Arabidopsis thaliana: one gene and its partner. The protein of the gene in region 1 interacts with the protein of each later gene in a pairwise test. Each region holds a gene or a part of one and is shown in the gene's direction. Other genes may lie near its edges.

Evidence for each region. Proteins that work in one complex are often made in the same cells at the same time.
Region 2: the proteins of AT5G08720 (region 1) and ARR9 interact in a two-hybrid assay, tested with the Arabidopsis thaliana proteins (one large-scale study listed by BioGRID).

What each region holds. Positions count from the first base shown.
Region 1 is NC_003076.8:2,840,855-2,847,243, reverse strand, and holds AT5G08720 (polyketide cyclase/dehydrase/lipid transporter), read left to right. Parts: upstream 1-1,713; 5' UTR 1,714-1,908; coding exon 1,909-2,303; intron 2,304-2,533; coding exon 2,534-2,654; intron 2,655-3,116; coding exon 3,117-3,202; intron 3,203-3,379; coding exon 3,380-3,761; intron 3,762-3,860; coding exon 3,861-3,961; intron 3,962-4,110; coding exon 4,111-4,177; intron 4,178-4,452; coding exon 4,453-4,680; intron 4,681-4,762; coding exon 4,763-5,209; intron 5,210-5,293; coding exon 5,294-5,366; intron 5,367-5,448; coding exon 5,449-5,708; 3' UTR 5,709-5,836; downstream 5,837-6,389. Other genes in the region: ARI16 (IBR domain-containing protein), read left to right, coding at 1-619, 709-1,420.
Region 2 is NC_003074.8:21,107,148-21,112,109, forward strand, and holds ARR9 (response regulator 9), read left to right. Parts: upstream 1-1,911; 5' UTR 1,912-2,116; exon of another isoform or gene 2,117-2,157; intron 2,158-2,266; exon of another isoform or gene 2,267-2,715; 5' UTR 2,716-2,911; coding exon 2,912-3,014; intron 3,015-3,109; coding exon 3,110-3,216; intron 3,217-3,317; coding exon 3,318-3,395; intron 3,396-3,549; coding exon 3,550-3,620; intron 3,621-3,735; coding exon 3,736-4,081; 3' UTR 4,082-4,420; downstream 4,421-4,962. Other genes in the region: CBL (cystathionine beta-lyase), read right to left, coding at 4,792-4,962. UniProt on the Arabidopsis thaliana protein: Functions as a response regulator involved in His-to-Asp phosphorelay signal transduction system. Phosphorylation of the Asp residue in the receiver domain activates the ability of the protein to promote the transcription of target genes.

The sequences.
Region 1 (6,389 bases):
ACAACAAGGAGAAGTTTCTGGCGAAGTTAGGGTTGGCTCGAGTTCTCAATTCCAACTCTTCTTCAGCTGATCGTGAGACGGGTGATGGAGATTACTTAGTCTCCACGCCCTTTTGCTCACACAAGTTTTCAACAACTTGCTGGAGTGAATATCTCAGCGATGCTCTGAAGAAGAACAAGGAGCAGAGAGGACTCATCTCTTGCCTTAGCCAAGACTGTGTCGCCTCTGTTGGACCCGATACGATCGAGCAACTCACAGAGCCAGTGAAGGAGATGTACGAGAATTATATTCTCGAATCCTTCATGGAGTGCCACAAGGCAACGATCAAATGGTGTCCTGCTTCGGGTTGTGAATACGCCGTCGAGCTTCAGGAGGATGGTAATGAAGATAATGTCATCAGTGTGGTCTGTTTGTGCGGCCATACCTTCTGTTGGACATGCGGGCTCGAGTCACACCGTCCGGTGTCTTGCAAAAAGGCATCAATTTGGTGGACGTACCTGTTGGATCAGTCAAGAAGCATTTCTTGGATCCATACAAACACCAAAAGTTGTCCCAAGTGCAAGATTCCTGTGCAGCAGAATGGTGATCCTAATTACAGACTCATTAATTGTATCTGCAGGTTTGTTTCTTTCTGAGCTTTAAAACATGTGCAAAATATTATATCTTTAAACTCATTACTATGTTTTCTTGACTGTTATGCATCATCAGTAATAACTTCTGTTGGATCTGCTTGCGCACGGAGGAACAGCATCAGGGGAACTGGAATTGTTCTCCAGTCGCTGTTCCAGCTGCGGGTCCTTCTACCGTTGAATTCTCACAGATTCTCCACCTGAATCTGTGGGAGGCAGGTCATGAAGCATTGAAGAAGGCTAAGTCCAAGCTGAGAGCCTTAGAGGAAAAAATCATTCCGAAACTGATCGAGAACTGCGGAGCGACCGAGCTGGACATTAGGACAGTAAGAGAAGCAGGGATGCTTAGTGTTCAGTGCAGGCAGGTACTGAAATGGAGTTGCGTATTTGATTACTCTATAATCGAGTACGAAAGCACGAAGAAGCAGTACCTGAAACACCTCCGAGCTCTGGCGAGCACAATGCTTTGTATGCACGAAGGGAAGCTTGATGAGTTGATACATCTAGCCCTCTCACCTGAAGATTTCACTAACTATAAGCACAAGTTGGAAATCAGTACAACATGCACTGGTAACCACTTCGATGGATTCATCAAGGAACTGGAAGATGGTAAGCCTGAAGTGAAGGCTGATGGTTACGAGAATGAACCAGGCAGTCGCTGGTTCTGTGATAGGTGCACGTTTGAGAACAGCTGGGTTGATAAACAGTGCAAGATGTGCTTTTTCCCCCTGGACTATCATCCTTCTCCTCAAGTGGCAGCAGCTCCTGAAGACCTTGGAAAATCGGAGTGAGAGTGAGTGATGAGTAAAGGATAAGTCTCATCAGTGATTGATGCTGGTTTCGTTTGGTGTTTTAGCTTCTCTTGTGTTGTTTTGTGTTTAAGAGTCTCCTTTGTTTCTCTTTCTCCTCTCTGTGTTGGATCATCATCCATCATATTGGTTTAAGAGTCTTGTTGCATTTGTCTTCTAAGTCTTTGTTGTTGTTGTTGTTGTTGTTGTTGTTGTTGTTGTTGTTTGTTGGTGTTTATGTTTGTGTTTCCTTGTTATAATATTTTTTGTAACATGAAAATGCAAATACAAAACTTCAGAGGAACAATAAAGTTTAAATCATGGTTTCGAATATAATGTCTATTGAAGAACAAAAGGTGAATTTCAACCATACATCAAATATATAAAATAAGAAAAAATCCGGTGGCTGAGAATATTTAACGGTAATGTAACACTCTGCAACAGTATCTTCTTCCTCTACACTGACACATTTCGTCGAACACCTTTCGCTAATGTCAGTGAGCAAGTTTCCACATCTCTCTCATGGCGTTCACACTATCAATTTCCTCAATGAACCAGTGTTTTTAAGTGTGTTGCTCCCATCTCCCTCTCGGATTCGAGTATTCTCGTCCATTTCCACCTCCGGGATCGGCGGCGGGGTCGCCAAGTGCCATGGAACGAGACATAGCGGCGCCGGTGGTAGAGGTGATAACGGGTTGAGGAGAGATAGTGGATTAGGTTTCGACGAGAGAGGAGAGAGAAAAGTGCGTTGTGAGGTTGATGTGATCTCGTGGAGAGAACGGAGGATAAGAGGCGAAATCTGGGTCGATTCTGATTCTCAATCTGTTTGGAATGTTCTTACTGATTATGAACGACTTGCTGATTTCATACCCAATCTCGTTTGGAGGTACTTCCCTCAGTAATACCCACTTTTTTCTTTCAGATTCTTATCATTTTGTTTGTGTTTATCTACAGAATTCTTCTGAATAATCTCTAAAGATTCAATTTTTATGTTATCTGGTTCATGCCATTGAAATTGTTTATACTGAATACAATGACTATACGTCTCCAAGAGAATGCTGAATCTCCATGCTTAGTTACCTCTCTTTGTTGATGGTATATTGTTTCAACTTGTAGTGGAAGAATTCCTTGTCCACATCCAGGACGTATATGGCTGGAGCAACGAGGCCTTCAAAGAGCCTTGTATTGGCATATTGAGGCTCGTGTTGTCCTTGATCTCCATGAGTGTCTAGATTCTGTGAGCACTCTTAAGCCTTTACTTTTCTCTTGCTGAATGATTGGGATTGAGTCTAAAACCTGCAAACTCTTCCGGATTCTGTGGTCTCTTTTTTTATGCATATCTTAGCTTTTGTTAAGAATCAAGAGGTTTCCTTTACACTGGATGATCTGTAATCATGGTTGATAAGGAGTTGCCTGCTTCCCACTTTCTCTAGATCCTTATTCCTAACCTCTTATTAGTTCTAGAAAAAACAATCATAGTGAGGTTTACTCTTGAAAATATCCATGGTTCTAATGAGTTCTCTTTCAGCCTGCTTTGCACTCATTGCATTGGTTACTTAGGGTACAACAAGATGTTATTTGTAACAAGTAGTTTTGTTGTTTGGTTAATTAGTTAATCTTTACTCTTGAGTTCTTATATTACATTTGTTTCTCAATCCATACATCTCTATTAATGTAGTTTTTCCTATTATCTTATTAGCCAAATGGTCGTGAGCTTCACTTCTCTATGGTAGATGGTGATTTCAAAAAGTTTGAGGGAAAGTGGTCTGTGAAATCTGGTATCAGGTACACTCATTAATCCCCGTAAGAAGTTTGTGTGCTCATCCTATCATCATTTAAATTAAATCCTCTATAAATGTGTATCAGAGAAATTCTTTCTGTAAACAGTCTGTTATGCATTTCTAACCACGGATCATTTTGGAACCATCTATGTTCCAAACATTTGTTTTTCTCTTTCTCCAGGTCCGTAGGAACTGTCTTGTCATACGAAGTAAACGTAATCCCAAGATTTAACTTCCCTGCCATTTTCTTAGAGAGGATAATCAGATCAGATCTTCCTGTAAATCTCCGGGCCGTAGCTCGCCAAGCTGAGAAAATTTATAAAGATTGCGGAAAGCCGTCAATAATAGAAGATTTGTTGGGTATAATATCTTCACAGCCAGCCCCTTCTAATGGTATTGAGTTCGATAGTCTTGCTACGGAGAGATCTGTTGCCTCCAGTGTTGGATCATTAGCTCATTCAAATGAATTGAACAACAATTGGGGAGTGTATGGAAAAGCCTGCAAGCTTGATAAACCTTGCACCGTGGATGAAGTTCATCTTCGTAGATTTGATGGTCTATTGGTAAGTAGTTTGGCTCAAAACTTACTCTATATACTATGAAAAAAAAAAGTTTTCCCATCTTTTGTGTTTATGAGTCAGTGGTTTTTTTCTTGGATGAAGGAAAATGGAGGTGTTCACCGATGCGCCGTTGCTAGTATAACAGTTAAAGCTCCTGTTTGTGAAGTTTGGAAAGTTCTAACGTCTTATGAGAGTCTTCCAGAGTAAGTACCGAACACATATATTTATCATATCCGGGCTTCACTGTTCTGACCTTAAGGAGGATTTTCTTGTCAATCTTCTTCAAATATTTGTTGTGTTGGCTTATATATATCTCTTGTTCTTCTGCGTTTATTGTTCATGAACCTATCAGGATAGTTCCAAATTTGGCAATCAGCAAGATTTTGTCACGCGATAACAATAAAGTCCGAATACTTCAGGTATGAGCATTCTCATCCACGGTTACCTTGTAATCAAATTTGGCAAGGACTAGAAGGAATCATTCTACAAGTACTTGTATTGGGTACTAACACTGGAAAAATCTGAAGAGAGAATTTGGTTGCCAAAATATGACTCATAATTTGCTCTTTCATGATTCAGAAAGGCTCTGTATTTAGTCTGGTCTTGAAGATCAAAATTCTGATACTGGCCAAAGCCAATGTTTCTTTTCTTGATTTCAAGAAATTATATAACTAAAACTGAATTCTGTTTTCAGGAAGGATGCAAAGGCCTGCTTTACATGGTGCTTCATGCAAGAGCTGTTCTCGATTTGCATGAGATTCGTGAGCAGGAAATCAGATTTGAACAGGTTGAAGGAGACTTTGACTCGCTAGAGGGGAAATGGATTTTTGAACAACTAGGAAGTCACCACACACTTCTCAAGTATACCGTGGAGTCCAAAATGAGAAAAGATTCATTTCTTTCTGAAGCAATCATGGAAGAGGTTTGGCTTACAATTGACTGAGTTCAGTGCAATCTTTTTTTTTTCTTATTGGAACCACAATGTTTTCTCTGAATCTTTTCAGGTTATATATGAAGATCTTCCGTCAAATTTATGCGCTATCCGGGATTACATTGAGAAAAGAGGAGAGAAATCTTCAGAGTCATGTAAACTGGAGACATGTCAAGTTTCAGAGGAAACATGTTCTTCATCTCGTGCCAAATCAGTTGAGACAGTTTACAATAATGATGATGGTTCAGACCAAACTAAGCAGAGACGGAGGATTCCTGGTCTACAAAGAGACATTGAAGTCTTGAAATCAGAAATTCTCAAGTTCATATCAGAACATGGACAAGAAGGATTCATGCCCATGAGGAAGCAGCTTCGGTTACATGGAAGAGTTGACATTGAAAAAGCCATTACAAGAATGGGTGGATTTAGGAGAATAGCTTTGATGATGAATCTTTCACTTGCTTATAAACACCGAAAACCGAAAGGATATTGGGACAATCTCGAAAACTTGCAAGAGGAGGTAAAGTTTCTAGACATGTTCAAAAATTAAAACCACTGTTGCCATGGTGTTTACAAGAGCTTCTCCCTCTGCATGTGGTTGCAGATAGGAAGATTTCAACAGAGTTGGGGAATGGATCCATCATTTATGCCGAGCAGAAAATCTTTCGAACGAGCAGGTACAAACAGTAAACTCAATTTAAGCTCTGTGTGTTCTTCTCAATCGGATTGGTCTGAGAAACATTTGGTCTGTTGTTTCAGGTCGTTATGACATTGCTCGGGCGCTCGAGAAATGGGGAGGATTACACGAAGTATCTCGTCTTTTAGCATTGAACGTGAGACATCCAAACAGGCAGCTAAATTCTCGTAAAGACAACGGTAACACGATACTGAGAACTGAATCTACTGAGGCCGATTTAAATTCAACGGTTAATAAGAATAATAAACCTTACGTCTCTCAAGATACCGAGAAATGGTTGTACAATCTTAAAGATCTTGATATCAATTGGGTTCAATATTGAAGCATTAATTATGTACATTTCACTATTTGTGTAGTCTTGTAACTCGCAAAGATAAACATGTATTTATGTAAATTGTAACATTGGATTGAAATTATCTGATCTCTTTTTAATGTTTCATCTGTTTTTAGTGTTTATATTTCACTTTGATAAAATAGAGTGAGAGAGCACCGAACAATAAGGAGGATAATAGCAAGGAACAAAGAAGTAAAGGTAAGTCAATGAAATTTGATAGTGATGGTTTTAAGAAAAAACGAAAGTCCCATCATTGTCTTCCTTCAATGTGAAATGAAGTTACACGTAATTAGAAACAAACTTCTTTCTAGGTTTTAGATTATTACAGAACCAAGTCTCAGAGGTCTTGACTCGTGACTGAAGAGAAAGGGTCAAGATATTTGGATGTGAATTGTGATGTGAAAAAGGAAAAAAAATCGAGATTTTAAAAGGGAAAATCAATAGAAAATATAAAATGCATGCATAAATCTAGAAATGATAGGTGTTTAACATTGAAGGCAAACTATGAGACAATCTTGAATCTTACTACTTTATACAATAGCTCTATATGTTATGACTTATAATAATTGGGACCTTCCTCGAGATTTAGACAGACCCTCTAACAGCTGAGAAACATGCATGTAAACAACATTTTTCTTTTTGATATAGATTAATCAGGAGAAATGATGA
Region 2 (4,962 bases), on another chromosome or scaffold:
TTATTTTTGGCCTTCTTTTATTATATATATTCATTTTTAATTATATACTCTTCAAAAAAGTTAATTCTATCCAATAGTTTTTATCAGTGAATTATGGTGTGTTAAGTTTTAATTTTAGTTTAACTACATCCGAGTTAAATTAAAGACATATATATAAGTACCCTATCTAGTATTCAACTTTTCTACTTTACTTTTCTTTCTATTTTGGTAATTACTAAGAGTACTTTCTTACTCTCTCTATATATATAGCTAGATGATACACGGCATATAAATGAAAATAGACCTGAATGCAGTATATCGAAGATATCATCGAGCAAAAACAACCCACAAAAGGATACTAAAAACACAAAAATAAATGAAATTTAAAACGATCAAATATCATAACGAGGGATATAAGCCACTCAACTACCTCGCTTCGCCCGAAAACTACTCGGATTACGTTCATTTCATTGCATGTGGTCCATTTCACATGTCACTATGACACACATCCACCAAATATGACATTCTCAGTTCACTTCTATCTACATAAAAACCAATTATCATATATTGTTTAAGCGTTTTATTATTTTTCGTACCTAATTTATATATGCTTACGTTAACAATTAACATGTTAATTAAATTATCGTGTTTATCTAATAAATATCAAATGTTTTATTTTTTTCTGTAAAGTAAACTGGACGTTTGAACTAATAAACACAAACACAAATAATTTGTTCGAATTAACAATCTAATAATAAATTTATAACATGTTCTAGAGATGGAAATGTCAATAAGTTTGGTTCTTCTTTCGGCTTTTTAGGTCAGTGAGAAAAAACTATTACGTCCTTTTTCCAACTGAATATCATTGTTGGTCAGATTCGAACCCAAATACTTTGATAAAACAGCCGGTCTAAAAGTGACGAGTGTCTCGTAATGTTTTATCTAGGGTCAAAAGCTGTGATGATGATGAAGGTGTTTGTGTTAGAAAGAAGAAGAAGAGAGAGAGAGAGAGGGTACTCATAAAGGAGAAATGGATGGTGGATATATTAAGAGAGGATATGTAATAAATTGAAGATCCATTGTCTACTATTGTGGATTAAAAGCATTGTCTTCCCGACATTGTGGATTACCATTAAATAGACAACTCGATCGAGCCATATCTTTTTGGTCAAATCCACCATCCTTTGATTCCTTTTCTCATTTCTCCTTCCTCACCTTCTTTGAATTTTACTTGAGTGCCTTATTCTTTCATGTCTTTTATTTGGTCCACTGTGTTAAAAAAAAGTCGATTCTTTTTTATAAAAAAAAACTTGTGGACTCATCATGTTGAATTACGGTAGTATTTCGGATTAATTGATAGAAGATTTCATTTCGGCTATAGACGTAAGAATAAACGAAAATACTTTGGAAATTAACCCTAATCCATGACCGATATATATTTTTTTCTTTTCATCGATGGGCTTGATCTTTCCCAATTATCCTGGCTGGTTTGATATAAATCGTGGCAGTTGGATGCCTTGAACGCATAATGGGAGCTTAATCACCGTGTTTAAACATTGTGATTAGGCGAATAAGTCTTGTTGGATAGATTTTGACGTGTGACCCCAAAAGTTAGACACGTATCGGATATAGTAGATGGACATGTTGATAATGGCAATCATGATGATGGTGAATGGGGCATGACCATGGGAAACAAATCTTTGGAAGAGAATCGATTTAAAATTGCCATGTCGTTGCCACCACAAACCCAACTGCTCATTATTTCACGTTTTGCTGAATATTGTTTTCTCCATTTACGTATTAAATTTAATTGGAGCAAAAAAACAAGTAAACAATTTAATGATATATGATAAACAAAAAAAGAGGCATCTTTGATGACGTCATCTGTATCTCTCAAGATTTTGGCGGGTCCCGTTTCTCCATTTATTTCTTCATGAATTTAGACTTCAAAGTGTGGGAAGACTTGATACATTTTAGTATATTATGAAGAAAACTAGGAGAAAAAGTTTTTAAGTTTACATGACTCTTTTTCTTCTTTCTCTTTTTTGAGAAAGGCGATTAATATGTTTGTTACGAATTAGACTACGGGAGAAATACGGTACATGGAAAGTGTGTTTTGCGGTACGAGAGAAGTGCGGTACGATTCAAATAGTTACAAAAATATATAGATACATATGTATATATAAAGATTTTGATACTGTTAAAGCACTGTTGCGGTGCGGTTTTTGTTACCATTCACAATCTATATGTTTGTCGATACTTATATTTTTTTGTATTTATGATAAAACTTATTAAAAAAATGAAGATGATGATGTGATATGTTATACACATATTTTTTGTATAAAATTTTTATATAGAAAAGGATTTTTAGATTTATGCATATATGATATACTGTATATGTATATTTTCAAATATGGTGTAAAATACTAAAATCAAGCGGCTGTGGTAGTAGTATATAAAGCAAAGGCCACCTATTATCTAATCCTTAAAAATCCTGCAAAAGATTTGTTTTCATTATTTTATTTTATTTAGGAAACTTTGTCTTTTTTCCTTCCTCTGCGCTGTCTTCTTCAAAAAACAAAATATTTTGTTTTTTGTTCTATTAGTAACTTTGCTTTCTCCACAATTCAAAGCTAATTTAGTTCTATTCATTTTTCCCTCTCTCTTTTGCAAAGATTTGGTAGAAGAAGAAAAATAAAAAGAGTTATAATCAATCAGATCTTGTTTTAAGTGCAGACTCTTTATTTCTCTTCCTCACCTAAGCTTCAGCATCGTAAATTTAAAACTAAAATCGCATCAAATCCCGGAGATAGGAAAGAAAATAATTGATTGTTTCTAGTGAAGAACAAAAAAAAAAAAGTCGAAGACTTTACATCTGGGTTCATCGATTTGAGATAAGATCTTCTTTATTTGTTATCTTCAAGTTTCTGCAATGGGTATGGCAGCAGAATCGCAGTTTCATGTTTTAGCTGTTGATGATAGTTTATTTGATCGGAAACTTATTGAGAGATTGCTTCAAAAGTCTTCGTGTCAAGGTATAAATGTGTGTTACAAGAAAAAAGTCTCAATCTTTGTTTGATAATGGTCGAAGAAAGATCTAAGCTTTTTTCTGTGTGTTTGGTATTTATAGTAACAACTGTTGATTCTGGCTCAAAGGCTTTGGAGTTTCTGGGTTTAAGACAAAGTACTGATAGTAACGACCCAAATGCGTTTTCTAAGGCTCCTGTTAATCACCAGGTTTGCTCTTTTATTTTTGTAAATCACTTTTTCTTCTGTTTTTGTTGTTGTTGTTGTTGTTGTTATTGAAGTTGTTGTGTTTGATTGGTTGCTTTCAACAGGTAGTTGAAGTGAATCTTATAATTACAGATTATTGTATGCCTGGCATGACTGGTTATGATTTGCTCAAGAAAGTCAAGGTACTTTTTTTTCCTAATTTAAGAGGAAAGTTTTCATATTTTCAGTCAAGAAAGTGAGAGAATGTCAATAGGAGATGAGATTATATGCTATTTGATGTGTATAAATAAAATCTTTTGATTAATCTGGGAATTATCTTGTTCTACAATTTTGCAGGAATCATCAGCTTTTAGAGATATACCAGTAGTTATCATGTCCTCAGAGAACGTTCCTGCAAGAATCAGCAGGTAAAGAAAGATTGAACCTATGAAGTTTGAGTTTGTTCCCCTTTAGATTGTGGTTTCAATCTCTCATTTCCCCGGGAATTAATTGAAAATTTTCTTGTGTCTTGATCATGAACAGATGTTTAGAAGAAGGAGCTGAAGAGTTTTTCTTGAAACCAGTAAGATTGGCTGATCTTAACAAGTTGAAACCTCATATGATGAAAACAAAGTTGAAGAACCAGAAGCTGGAGGAGATTGAGACAACTTCAAAAGTCGAAAATGGAGTCCCCACTGCAGTAGCTGATCCAGAGATTAAAGATTCAACAAACATTGAAATTGAAATCTTGCCTCTGCAACAAGATCTGCTATTAGTTCAACAAGAGGAGCAAACATTGAGTATCAACAACAAGAGGAAGTCAGTGGAAGAAGGGATTTCAACTGATAGAGCACGTCCTAGATTCGACGGTATCGCAACCGCTGTCTGATCTACCAGCTATGATACTTCTTTTTTCGGTTTCTGATTTAGATTTTTGTAGATTTTCTTAGGAATGCTTCTACTGGTACAGTACATGGTTTCAGTAGGGAATGCAGAGAGGGGAATATGATGATGATGTTGTATGTGGGGATAATGTTTATAAGTACATCAGTAAATCTTACATGGTTAATAACCCAGTTCCCAGTTTTGTTTCACTCTTTACTTTTGCTTTAAAGACACTCCAACTTGACTATCTGAAAATGGTATGAAGGATCTGTAGATGTCACTCTATTTGCCAACTGTTGTTTTCAATTCAATTCACAATGTTACTTTATCATGTATACCTACCTGTCCTAGCGAACAAAAAGGTATAAATCTGGTAAATTCAGGTGCTGATGTGTCATGGTTTGTTCCATGTTCTTGTTTCTTACCTAACCTCAGGACAAGTTGCTCACTGTGTCCTCTCCCTGCTCCACAGATCAAGAATCTTGATAAGAGTTGTATTTCACTTTGAAGAAAGATCCGTACTACTTATGTTGTTGGCTTTGAAGCCGATAATACAGAATTTAACCCCAAACAAGTAACATAACAAATCTAACAATAATGAATTTATTGCTTGATGTGTTTTCAAACACCAAATTATGTTTTATGGTTTGTTACATAGATCCTTATTTCAAGAACCTATGAAACTACAAAAGCTGAGACAAGAACAAACCAAAACTAGAGAGGGAAGGTTTTGAAGGCAATGTCAAGATCAGATATCAAATCATCAACATCTTCAATTCCTGCAGATATACGGACAAGATCTTCCGTCAAACCTCTGGCCTCACGAACTTCTGCAGGTATGCTTGCATGTGACATGAAGCATGGCATGCTTATCAGTGACTTAAC